3 linked regions of the Drosophila melanogaster genome follow. The protein of the gene in region 3 interacts with the protein of the main gene of each other region in a pairwise test. Each region holds a gene or a part of one and is shown on either strand. Other genes may lie near its edges.

Region 1 (4,702 bases), on a different chromosome or scaffold from region 3:
TGATGGAGAAATGTGGCATGTTGCATGTAGCATGTGTAGTATGTAGTATGTAGTATGTGGCATGTCGCGTGGGGTGACATGTTGCCCGATCTGCCGTCTGCCACAAAAACACGTGCACTCACTCGCAAATACTCATATATATGTACAAAGATATGTATAAAGATATAGGAGCCCAGATACAGATACTGTGCCACTTGAATTGAGGCAGGTTCAGCCCGCCGCACACTCATGGCCAATATTTGCCAGCAAATATGGTCGAAATCTATATTTAGACACTTACGAACCGCGAATCAACTGATCGATTCCCATCCAACGATCTCGATCTCCCTTCCCAATAATAAAAACAGAGAGAAGACAGAAAACCGGAGCGTATCGCTGTTAACTGGCTTTCTATTGGAACAGTTGGGCGCAGCGGTTAGCTGTTGATAGCCGAAAGCAAAACAAAGTCGAAACAAAAACAAGAGTGCGACTTTCAGACCTCGAGACTCTTGGCCAACTATTTTGGCTGCCGCTGCGCCCACATGGTAGCTCAACTGGTGCTAAAAAGTGATCGCCAAAAAATGATCGCACCGCCAATGCAGCGCATTAGTCAAAGCTGACTTTTTTGGCAATTTTTTTTTTTTTTGGTATTTTGTTATTTAATCTCTGTTTTTTTTTTCTTGCCATCGAATAATTTTAACTCGACATTGCGGCATTTCGTGTGTGGGTGAGAAAAGTTTGGTGGGGAATTTAGCTGAGATCATTCAGTAGGGCTAAGGACTTATAAGCATAGTCAATAATCATCGGAAATTATAGCGATTTTATTTGAGTGTGATCATCTATCAGTCAATGAATTGGTATTCACAGAGATCACTTGATAATCATGAGTTGTATCCATTAAGTGGACAAATTAGTTAGTTCAGTGAGTGATATGATATGATAAATTAATTCTAAGAACTACTAAAAAGATATTAACTGGAAAGAGCCCGAAGAAAGGAAATGGTATCCCAAAAATATCTGGGCACATACGTTTGTATGTATATGATGGGATCGCAACGATTCCTACGTGTATTTAAATGACCATCGCGATAAGCCAAAAAAGCCAAAATATACGAGTGGGATTAGTGGGCATATACAGATGCGATGTTCCCATGCTGAGCGACGAGGATCATTAGCGAAGTAAACCACTGACGATCGCTATCATAATACTGGCATGGCAAACATACGTACGTACAGAGATACCTGGCTGACTGACTGACCAGCGAAAGCAACCCATTGATAAGACCGCTACAGTGGACTATCTAAACCTAATAGCTGTGACAACCGCAAATTGCATGAGGAATACCATATCGACCGGAGGGGTAGTACCGCAGGGTAGGGGAATGTACAGGTAGTGGGACACAGGTAATGACAATAAACATTCTCCACTTATCAGCAATCCGCTGATGCACGCACACAGAGCGAAAATTAGGGCACGTTTCACGCACACCACGGTTTTGGATATTATGTTAGATAATATAGATTATAATTGTTATACCATTTTGCTCTATTTATATATTTTTATATCTTAAGAATGCCTAATTAGTCAATAGTAATAGTAGACCTTGTTTGCTCTGTGCACTTGTGGTTAAGGAAATATTGAGATGATGTTGCGGTTTTGGTTTAGACTTGGAGCTCAGACTTAAGTTTTGGGTTTTTGCCTTTTGATTTTTCGTTTTTTTTTTTTGGCATGCGATAAGACTCGAGACAAAGCCAATTTCCCGCCGATTTCATTGGAAAGATATGGAGTATAGGGGGTTATACATATGTGCTAGCAACAGCTGATTAGCCATTTGAGCAATTTGCAGCACAATCCGTACACATTATCAAAATTTGAGCCGTTTATCATCAGGTGCGTGAAAGCAAGAGGGCGGTGCCCGATGAGGTGAGGAAATGACAACGGCGACAGGAATGCGAATGCGAATATACGAATGCGAATGCGATTGTATGTATGAATGGTATGTAGATGTACGATGGGTATATATGGTAGGTGCTATAAGGTGGCCTGCGAATACCTGGCCGATTAGCAATCCACTGTCAAAATGCATTGAAAGCGAAAGACGACACTAAAGGAAACAGGGACCAAGGGTGCAATGTACCGAGTGTGTAAACCGAAGAGAACCAGGCACAATGTAAAGAAATCCAACGCACTTTTGGCGAGAAAGACAAAAGAGCTTTTCACTCAGAAAAAAAAAAGAATAGTTGTACAGCAGTAATTATTACTATTTATTTAAAGTTAGGTTTTAATCTTTTTCCAAAGATATTGTACAAAGATTTAGTATGATAACCCAAACTGGGAGCAATTAATGGCCAATCCAAATTCACCATCTCGAGTGTGCACTGTATTTTCTTCGAGTGAAAGAAGGGCAAGCGATCAAGAGAGATAGAGTGAGAAGAGAGAGCGGGTGGAAGAGCGAAAAAAGGAGTCCGCGTGGTCGGTGAACTTGAACTTGTGAAAGGATGGGGGAACTACCGGTAAGTGGCTTTATGGATGGGCTACGATCATCACTTTCAATTAAATTACCAGGGGAACGCCAATGCCGCCAAAAGTCGCAACCCGGGAGCCTAGGAACTGGGAATCTCTAGTTCTGAAGATCTCAAGATCTCTGGAACCTGCTCCAATTTTTGTGCGCACTCGCACTCACTCGCCGACAAACTTCACTTCACTTTTCGCACTTAACTCGGCTGCTGTTGTTGTTGTTGTTACAAAACAATTAAATATAAATAACAACGTTGTAGCGCAAATAAAAAAAATTAAACAAAAAAAAATAAATAAAGACCGGGGGAAAAATATAAAAAAAAAGATGTGTATTTAATTGAGCGCGACACGCAGTGATCTTGTGCGACACAATATTATTTTACTTGAGTTGCAGCACAATTTCAATTCTCGCGATCGCCTTACGACTACGGGACTACGGCTTTACGGATTCCGAAGATTACGGGTTCAATTTCTTCTCCACAATTCTCCTTCAGCGAACGAACGAACGAACAACCGACCGACCGACCGACCGTTTGTGGCCGAGTGCGAACTCGAACTAAACTGAACTGAACTGAAGCCGCCGACAAAACGAAGATCGTCGCCGGCAGCAACAACTCGCTGCGATAATAGCAGCAGCAACAACAACAGCAACAACACAAGCAAAATTACGAGATGCGAAACGATGGCGCACAGTGGTCACACTCCTACTGAAAACTCTCCATTCAGTTGATGGATAATGTTAAAAGTTCTTTGCGCCACAAGATATGTATATGAATCTAAACTATTTATCAATAATAAAAGTATATTAAGAGGTATTTTTAACTTAACAGCACAATGGTCGAAGAGTTAAGGAAAGTTGTATCATATGTTTACAGAACATGTTAACAGCACTTTACTCCACAAGATATATGAAACCATGGAGTAATAGCTTAATAGTTAAACTATATTAAAAAAGAACTTAAACTTAACTCTATTGTGGTCACATGTCAGTCATAAGATCTTACATTTTTCAATATATTAATTACAACCATTTACCCAACCATACTAATTTATGAAAGTATAATATCAAAACTATAATATAATGTATTAAGCAAACTTTACGCTTACTCATAGATCATTGTTGTCACTGTGGTTAACATAGGTTGTAAGGAAGATAGCAAAGTTTTTAACTTTGTTAAAGAAATATTTAATATTAAAGTTTATTCTTCTGCTACTAAGTCAACTTACTGTATTAAAAGTTTCCTAAACTATTCTTTCCGTAAATTAACAATGTTTTAAAATGGAAATTACTATGAATGCAATGGATTGTTATATTGGTGTTTTACGGTTACAAAATTTTCTTTAAAAAAGCGCGGAGTTGGCAAAAAATAAATATTGCTCACCAAAGTGAATTATTAAACGGCAGGTGCTGATTTACTTTCGATTTTGGAAAAGGTGCTTGTAATTATCAAAAATTTATGCTGTCCCAATTTAATTAAACGTGTAATGCAAAATAAGCTTATATTGTTTAAAACAAGTTATAGCTGAAAGCCAAAGCTATGGCACATGGAAATCTAAAATGGTTGTTTTGCAATATATCAGTAATATTTTTTCACATGGTACTGCTGACCAAATCAATATTTCTTGCTGTAAAATGAGACTTTTAATTGTCGGAAAATTATGACACCCATAAATTTTAATTAGCAATCTGTTCTTTTTGTCTTTCGTTGTTTGGTTTTAGCTGGAAATTGAATGCACAGACTTTGGTTCACAATCTTAACAGATTCTCTTGAAAATTATCTTTTATCAGTTTTACTATCGTATATGAATAAGTATTTATATTAAAAGATATATTATTGTGCTTAACCCGGTTATATCTTGTTAAGAGGGCGACGTGTTTGTTTCGCTTGATTTGCAGCTTTGTTTGCTATGTGATCGCATTTTTTGCTCGCACTTATTAATTTTTTTTTTTTACAATTCACCTTGTATTGCCAGCCACAAACAATTTGAAAACGCGAAAACTGTCGATGACCGATAAGCAATTGTCGATTACCGATTAGCGTTTTGACTTCTGGAATTGGAAAGAAGCTTCTGATTTCTGATTTTTCACCTTTTTTTTAGCCCTTCCATTTCGAAATTCAGGTTTTCTTGACAGACCCCCATACCCGCCCCATTTGTCGTGTTGTTCTTCTTGTTGTTGTAAAGTGCCATTGTGTCGTGTCGTCG
Region 2 (3,346 bases), 8.2 Mb from region 3:
CGAGCCGATGAGCGAAATCTGGATCCACCAGGCCATCCACACAATCGAGTATATCCTTAGTACCATCTCACACACGGCCTCATATCTTCGTCTCTGGGCCTTGTCCTTAGCTCATGCCCGTAAGAATCTGCTAAGTCAGTAATTGAATTTGTACTTCATGCAGATCTTATTTCAGAGCTATCGGAGGTGCTGTGGACTATGGTGCTGGCGATGGGACTTCAGATGAACGGCTACGTGGGCGCCATTGGGCTGTTTTTCATCTTTGCCGTTTGGGAGTTTTTCACCATCGCTATCATGGTCATGATGGAGGGTCTTTCCGCCTTCCTGCACACATTGCGCTTGCACTGGGTGGAGTTCATGAGCAAGTTCTATGTGGGAAACGGATATCCGTTCACGCCATTCAGCTTTAAGGATATTTTGATCGTCGTCGAAGATGATTAGAACCATCAGGATAGCCATCGTGATTCGCTCCTTGAAGAAGGTTTAATTAAAAAAGCATTACAGAATAAAAAGTACTTTATTTGTCAAATTATTTGGAAAACGCAGCAATATTAAGGATTATTTTTTGGAAGATGAGGTACGACCGTATTTTCCAATGCACCTTTGGCGATTGTTCAAGTGTTATTTGTTTTCCTGTACTTAAATTGCAGAAATTTTGGATTTTAAGTCTTCGATTATCCCACTGTGGAAAAAACAAACATTTGGGATACATGTTCTTGTACGGTTTTTTTATAACTCCTAATAGTTACTCACATGAGGTCATGTTCGATCTGGCCTAGAACACGGATATCATTAGCCATTGACTTTTGGGTGGTGTTAACAAATTCTCGCTTCTTTTTGAGCTCCTCGGTCTTTAAAGCCGTCTTAGCGCGAATTTCTTGCGTTTCTTTCTTGGTGTTAAGTATGGTCTTCTTTAGATCGTGGTAGTTCTGAAATAGAAAATATTTGGATAGAATTTTACAAACCTGCAAGATTACTGGTTTCTTGAGGAGATTACATACCATCACGGTGAACTCATCGAAGCATTTCGTCTGCTCCTGCATCTCGGCCTTGACCTTGAGCGCCTTCTTGCAATGGTCATCGTAGGCCTGGGAGACGTTTCTCTTGGCGGTGACCGCCTGATTGAGGCTCTCCAGGATCTTGGCGTTCTTCGTATGCAGAAAGTGGATGTCGTCCACAAGATTCTGGGAATTGGTGACATGGGTTAAGTCGTTCAAAGTGGTGTACTTCTCGGCAATCAGGACATCCAACTCCTTCTTCTTTTCATCGACCAGCGCGGTACGGTGATCATTTTCGGAGCCCTACAATAATATCAAAATGTATATAAATTTTAACTAAAAATGTTTCCTTTCTTAACTTACCAATTGGGCCACTGATTTCTCAATGTATGCTGTCACTTGGTCATCTTCCTCAGGTGGGACCTCAGTTTTGGAGTCTTCCTTGTTCCAATCTTGGTTACTACCCATTGCTCATGTAGTTTTGGATAACAATTTGTTTAACTGTAATAATAATTGTCGCAACGTTCTATTCAAGTTTTGGCGAAATTTCTGTTTTGACGTACAAAATGGCGGTCAACTTAGTGTTGGAAAACAGCAGATAGGTCGATGACGATAGCAACTTTCTACACACTTATTGGTGATAGATCTGTTGATGAGCGCGCTATTTAAATTTACACCAATTGGAAATATTTACGTTCTAGTCAAAGAACACAAATACTTCATAACTTTAATAGTTTCCATATCTGAAATTGGCATACATTATATTCACATTCATGTTCATATATTTATGTATATCACAGAAACTGTGGACGATCGACTCTGACTCTGGACTTGTGACTCTGATCAAAAATATAAATATATATAATAAAAATATATTCTTCTACATGTTTCACACTTTTCAGCGAATCTAATATACCCTCCTTTTACTTTGTGAGTATAACTGAAAGCTTTGACGTGATTTGTTTTGCAAAATGGTTCGTAACATTAAACTTTGTGTGAGAAACCTTCTTAATTTAAAAAAATGAGACGGTTTCTCTTCTCTTTTCTTCTAACAAACCGTGACCGCCAGCGAGGATGCCGAAGAACTGGCCTCCGCAGATTTACCCCAACCTTATTGGGTCATCTCATAGTTCATTGATAAGCACGGCATTCCAACCACGGCCCACTTGTATGTGGGTTTGGGTTACGTTAGTGGTGCATTGGAAGAAGGTCATCATATTGAGGGCAGCGATCAGCGCAAAATTCTTGCGGATGGCAGCGAAATCAGATGGAAATGATCGAGTGGGGAGTTTATTTAGAGGTAGTCATTATGAAACTCCGGTCAGTTGTGGAGCCATCGAGCAACAGACAGGTCTCCGGTCTTTCCATTCGTAATTCTGGATTAAAACATGTGGCATTTGTGTTTGGCTCTTTTGGGACTGGCGGTAGTGTGCTTTGCGGATACACTGGTTCAGCTCCATGTGAATCGTCCTTACAACGATGTGAACGAAAAGTTTGTCAGTTTTGCCGTTCGTCCGGAGGATCTGTACGATGCCCTGGATGGCAAGAACCGCAAGGCGGTGACCAATTTGGCGAATCTGCTGGGAGATGCGCACATCAAGTTCGTGGGAGATTTTTACTTCGCCAGCAATGCGCCAACTAGGCTGCGAAACCCCACCAAAATCATTTGGAAGGGGTTCAATCGGTGGTCGCGGTAAGTTGGTGGTGATGGCTTTCCTCCCATTTTCTGATCATCTATCTGACCTTATTTTTCGAAGGGCCGTAAACTGGACCATGATCATCCCGGTGCCTTATGCGCCCGATGATTGGGACTCCATGCATACGCTGAAGATCCTGAACACCTCCTATATGGTTGGCATCACCGACTGCATCTGGCAGCTGGGCACAGACTTTGGCACCTCCAGAGCCAAGGACTACGTCCAGGAACTTCGAACTCTCAAACTGATGACGGATACTTTCAAACCGTATGTGGACGACTGGCGACTAATGGGAGCGGACATTTCAGCTGGAAGCAGTGCTGATGAGACCAAGAGATACGTAGATATGTCCAAGGATCTGAATACGGCATTTGGATGGACGCAGTAAGTAGTGAGATTGGAAGTGAATGTATTTATGAACATTATAGAAGTAGCATCTTACCTTTTAATAATTATTTTGTTCCAACTGTAGACCCGCAAACATGCTGCCCAAATCAAGCCTGGGAAGCTACTTGTACGACAGCGATCCTGCCCTGCGAACCCTTCAGCAACAGCGCGTTCCCTTGTGGCTGACCTTGCCGGAGGAGCGATCCTCGCAGAGATTGGTGGGCGACGAGACCACGGATGCCTTGCGGTGGGCCCAAACTATGG
Region 3 (4,493 bases):
CGTATCCACTTCGCACAAACTTTGCCATTTAATAGTCTTTGGTTATTTCGTAAAAGAAAAGTGTTTTAAACAATGCTCAAATATGCAACTATGGAATCATACTTAAATTAAATAATATTGTCCTTAGATTAACCCAATCCTTTTATATTTCTTCGCAACCGTACGAATTGACAACTCCTACCAAACATATAGTTATAAAATCGTAATTGTATTTTGTCCATCCCGAAATGTGATCTTTTTTAAGTGTGTCCTCGGATATTTACCGCATTTGAAAATGTTGGCCACATATAAAGCCAATCATTTTCGGGTGGATCATCCAAAGGCAGTTCTATGCTTCTTGAATATCGATCTGTACATTCCAAAGCCTATTGCGAAAAATATTTCATTTATGGTACGGTGGCACTGGCAGTTCCACTAGCTTGTTGTTAAATTCTTTGTTATTTATTATGAATATGGTTTTCGAAATTTGTTGATTGCCTTGTGATTTATGTATTCTATTAATTTTGCCTAAGCTAAATGCGTTTTTTCCATTTCTGCTGCCTATGAAGCATTTAAGAATTGTAAACTCAACTCTCGATTTGTAATCTAGATTTTAAGAACCTAAACCAGCAATGTGAATAAACCAAGAGACCCTTGTAATCGCAAGTTTTTTGTGAGTATCTTATTAATGTTTATTTAAATACTTAGGAGTAATCAAGCTCCTCGACCAGCTCGTAGAGGATGGCACCATCGGTGTCCTTCGTTGGAGATTCATTGCCATTATCTTGATCTTTGGGCGCAGCTTTTGGCCTACTACCCTTTACTTTGCAAGGACCTGCGGGTGTTTTTAAAAGCTTGGACCTGGTTAAAAATAGAAGGGAATAGTTAATAAACTACTGGATTACACTCTAATGTTGTAACATACGCAATTGTCAGTTCGTCCAGCATTGGAAGAAGTGTGGATCGTGTCACTCCGCGAGCTTCCTCTTCGGCCAGTTCCTTGGGGTGTGCCTGCCGTTTGTGCGATCGACAGTTGGAGCCATTGGCGAAGTCTCTTCCGCAAAAATTGCACTTATATGGCCGGATGCCGGTGTGAAGGATGAGATGTGCCTTCAGTGTCTTACTTCGCTTGAACGCCGATCCGCAGACTTCACACTTAAATTGCCGTGTATCTGAATGCACCAATTTGTGTTTGTTGAATGTGCGTCGGGTTTTTAACTTCAAGCCACATACAGTGCACTCGTAGATTTCGGCACTGTGTGTATCTAAATGGATCTGGCAAAAGATTAGGTAACTAGTTAATCGTACTGTAGTGGATAAGAGTACATGACAACCTACCTTTAACCTCGCATTGTTTTTAAAGCCTCGCTTGCACACGGGACACTCGAAGGGGCACTCATCTGTGTGCACAAGTTTGTGATCCTTCAGTCCAGTAATGTAATTGAAGCTTTTGCCACAGAGGTCGCACACATAGGGCTTTATTTGGTTGTGGATGCCTTCTATGTGTCGCTTCAGTGTTCCCGAGGTGGTGAAGCGCTTTTCGCAGTGTGGACAGCAGTTATCTGTCTTTGGTTTGGCACGTACATGGGTTCGGTGGTGGGCATGCAGTTGGGCGACTGTTGGAAAACATAGTTTGCACTGATTGCACTCCAACTGTGGCAGATCATCGGCCACAGTGTTGTGAACCTCCTCCATGTGACGCTTGTAGGCTTTGGGTTTCTTATACGGCTTTTTGCAAATATTGCACTTATACATGGCTGGTACCTCTGATATTTCATCCTCCTCATCGGTTACATGCTCTCGGGAGATATCTTCCTGGGTATCCTCGTTTGATTCTATAGATTCCACGGTGTCTTTTGTTTCTACGGGTTCTTTTTGCGGATTGTGTTGTACTATTTCATATGTTTCCATGTTGAAATCTGAAACTTGGCTTTCTTCTATAATCTGCGACTCCTCGATATAGCGATCCTCTGTCATGTGCTCCACTTCCTCCACTAAGCAATCTGTAGCGTCTTGGGTTTCCAACTCTTCCTCCACAGCTTCAACCTCTTCTCCCACAGTGTCAATCTCTTCCTCCACAGTTTCAACCTCTTCCTCGGCAAGATCTTCTTCCACATCTTCTTCTAGGATTTCCTCTTCCACCCCAGAAATTTGCATTTCTTCTTCAATAACATCTTCCTCTTTAGGAAAGTCTTGTTTTTCCTGAAGACATTGTTTTTCCACCAAAAAATTTGGTATCATTAGGATTTCACTTTTCATTTTACTGGATGTTTCTGTTTGGCAGACTATTGGTTGTTCCTCGCTGATGAATACTTCGTCATTCTGGGGAAGACTTTCGTCTACGGCTCCGAGCATTATATGCTTCCATCCATCGGTTGCCACACCGCAGTCCTCTCGAATTTTCTCATAATCCATCAAATTATTAGACTGTAACAACTGCAATTTGCTGAAAAGGATCTGCACTTTGCGAACCCTCTCCGAAAACTCGATGAGGCAGTCCATCAATGTGAAGCATTCGGAGCACAGAAAATTGCTCAGCTCGTCCTCCCTTTTGATCTGAAAGGCATGATCTTAGTTTTCTATTTGGAATATGTAAATTTATAGCAGTTACATCGACCCAAAAGTACTTGCCAATGGTCATGGCCATTGTGCTCGCCCAGGAGTTTTGTTTCGCCTCCCTGAAGAATACATTTTGATTTGTCGGATGCTCCTTGGAGCACAGGCGACACCATTGGTGCCAAATTGTTGAATCTCTGTTCGCGGCTTGTGTTTCTGCGAGAATATCCGACATATTCAGAAAACATCGAAAATATACTTTCGTTTTGTTTTGATTAACAGCCCTGCCTTGCAAAAATACCAGGGCTGCCAGCTACACAAGAAAACAGAGCTGCGGACTGTTCCATTGGTTTACAGTTCACGACTTAGAGGTTCCGGAACTACAGAGCAATTATTAAAACTAACGGTTAAGGGCAAGAAAACGGTATGCTTTTTTTATTTGGCATTTCATTTTTATTTAAGTCTTTTCGTATGTTTTTAGCATCCGTTTAACATATCAAACTCTACTCTAGCTAAAAGTACGAATATTTTTGAGATTCCGTTTCAAGAATCACAGATCTATTTGTATGTTATATTATGTATGCTCAAAAATTTTGATTTCATTTCTTTGAAAACGTGTACCAATTTTACAGCCAAGCAAAAACTGCCCTTTTAAAAGATTAAAAACAATTCGTCATCAATTTACAAAATAACTTATATTTGTAAAATTCAAAAACTTTCTACTTAGATATTAGTATTTGTGTTATTAACTGCGTTAATTAGGTCCATCATCACTCGAGCTCGTTTTAGACATTATGAGCATTCTTAAACTGTCCGTTAATTTGCGTATGTCCAGTATATGTCAGCGGCATATACGTCTAGAATATAGTATAGGTAATTTAGCTTATCAGCTTAGGGAACTAAATAATGCACTAGACTTAAACTAGGTAAGTGTACGAAACAAAATACTAGGTGTCCTTCAACTGCCGTTGATGGCGTCCTCCGATTTCATCGTCGAATTGGAGAACTGATCTCCGCCGGCCAGAAGATCGGCACTGGATGCAACTGGTTGCAGCTGTGCCTGTTGCACTGCCACGTTCACTGGGACCATTGGCACCATCGGCACAGCCGTGGCTTCCATTCCCGGAGCGGTGCTAATAGTTCTGGCCAGATTCTTTTGCTGTCGCATCAGTTTCTCCTTCTCGCGTTCCGCCTTCAGCTTATCGAAGTCATCGCCCTCGTCTTCGGGCTGCACTGCCGCATCGCCGAGTAGATCCGTGGAGGACCTCAGGTCCATGCTCTCCACTGGAAACATAGATGGTAAGTGTCAGTAAAGTATATGCCATGGTTAAATTCATCATACGCAACGTGCAACGTCTACGAAATGGCTAGGACTAATGCTAGGCGGGTACCAATATGAAGTTGAGGTTACGGGTTCATGGCTACCTACTTGACCAGCCAGAAACCTATTCTGCGGTCAAACAAAGCGCAAAATATTTAATTTAAAAGAGCCAAGCTGGGTTAAGTACTCAACAAGTGGGCATCGCTTTCAAAAAAACACATGCCAATTGTTTTAAAATTCAAATATAAAACTAAATTAAAAATGTAAATTTAAAGACAGCTTGGAAAAGATACATATTGTGGGAAGTTTTGGTTTTTTTGTGGGTTCGTTAGGTTGAATACTAAACTAAATTAAGTAATTAAAAAATGGTTACTGTAAAACAAAAAGCTTATTAGCAATTTTTTCATTATTAATTTTGCAGGGTATATTCAAAAATAAATTGTTAAAATTAGTAATAGTTTAATTTTTGTTACTAAATAAGTTTCAATTAAAAATATTTTTTAGTACACACGGAAATAACTGTATACATTTTCGTTTATAAATAAATCATAAAATAAGAGCAGACAATCAAAAAAAAAAAATTTAACAAAAATAAGAGTGTAATAGGGAAATCAGCAACGATTACGTAGAAGAGCAA

The links.
Region 1: the proteins of CG6254 (region 3) and spri interact in a two-hybrid assay, tested with the Drosophila melanogaster proteins (one large-scale study listed by BioGRID).
Region 2: the proteins of CG6254 (region 3) and cona interact in a two-hybrid assay, tested with the Drosophila melanogaster proteins (one large-scale study listed by BioGRID).

What each region holds. Positions count from the first base shown.
Region 1 is NC_004354.4:10,582,368-10,587,069, forward strand, and holds the start of spri (sprint), read right to left. Parts: upstream 3,056-4,702; 5' UTR 2,543-3,055; intron 1-2,542. UniProt on the Drosophila melanogaster protein: Potential Ras effector protein. May function as a guanine nucleotide exchange (GEF), by exchanging bound GDP for free GTP.
Region 2 is NT_033777.3:18,384,042-18,387,387, reverse strand, and holds cona (corona), read right to left. Parts: upstream 1,561-3,346; 5' UTR 1,467-1,560; coding exon 1,362-1,466; intron 1,302-1,361; coding exon 1,002-1,301; intron 930-1,001; coding exon 754-929; intron 683-753; coding exon 640-682; 3' UTR 501-639; downstream 1-500. Other genes in the region: Vha100-4 (vacuolar H[+] ATPase 100kD subunit 4), read left to right, coding at 1-119, 176-441; CG14309 (uncharacterized protein), read left to right, coding at 2,387-2,691, 2,756-3,079, 3,168-3,346.
Region 3 is NT_033777.3:10,158,492-10,162,984, forward strand, and holds CG6254 (uncharacterized protein), read right to left. Parts: upstream 2,841-4,493; 5' UTR 2,771-2,840; coding exon 2,591-2,770; intron 2,536-2,590; coding exon 1,318-2,535; intron 1,255-1,317; coding exon 905-1,254; intron 841-904; coding exon 684-840; 3' UTR 653-683; downstream 1-652. Other genes in the region: Best1 (bestrophin 1), read right to left, coding at 3,494-3,819.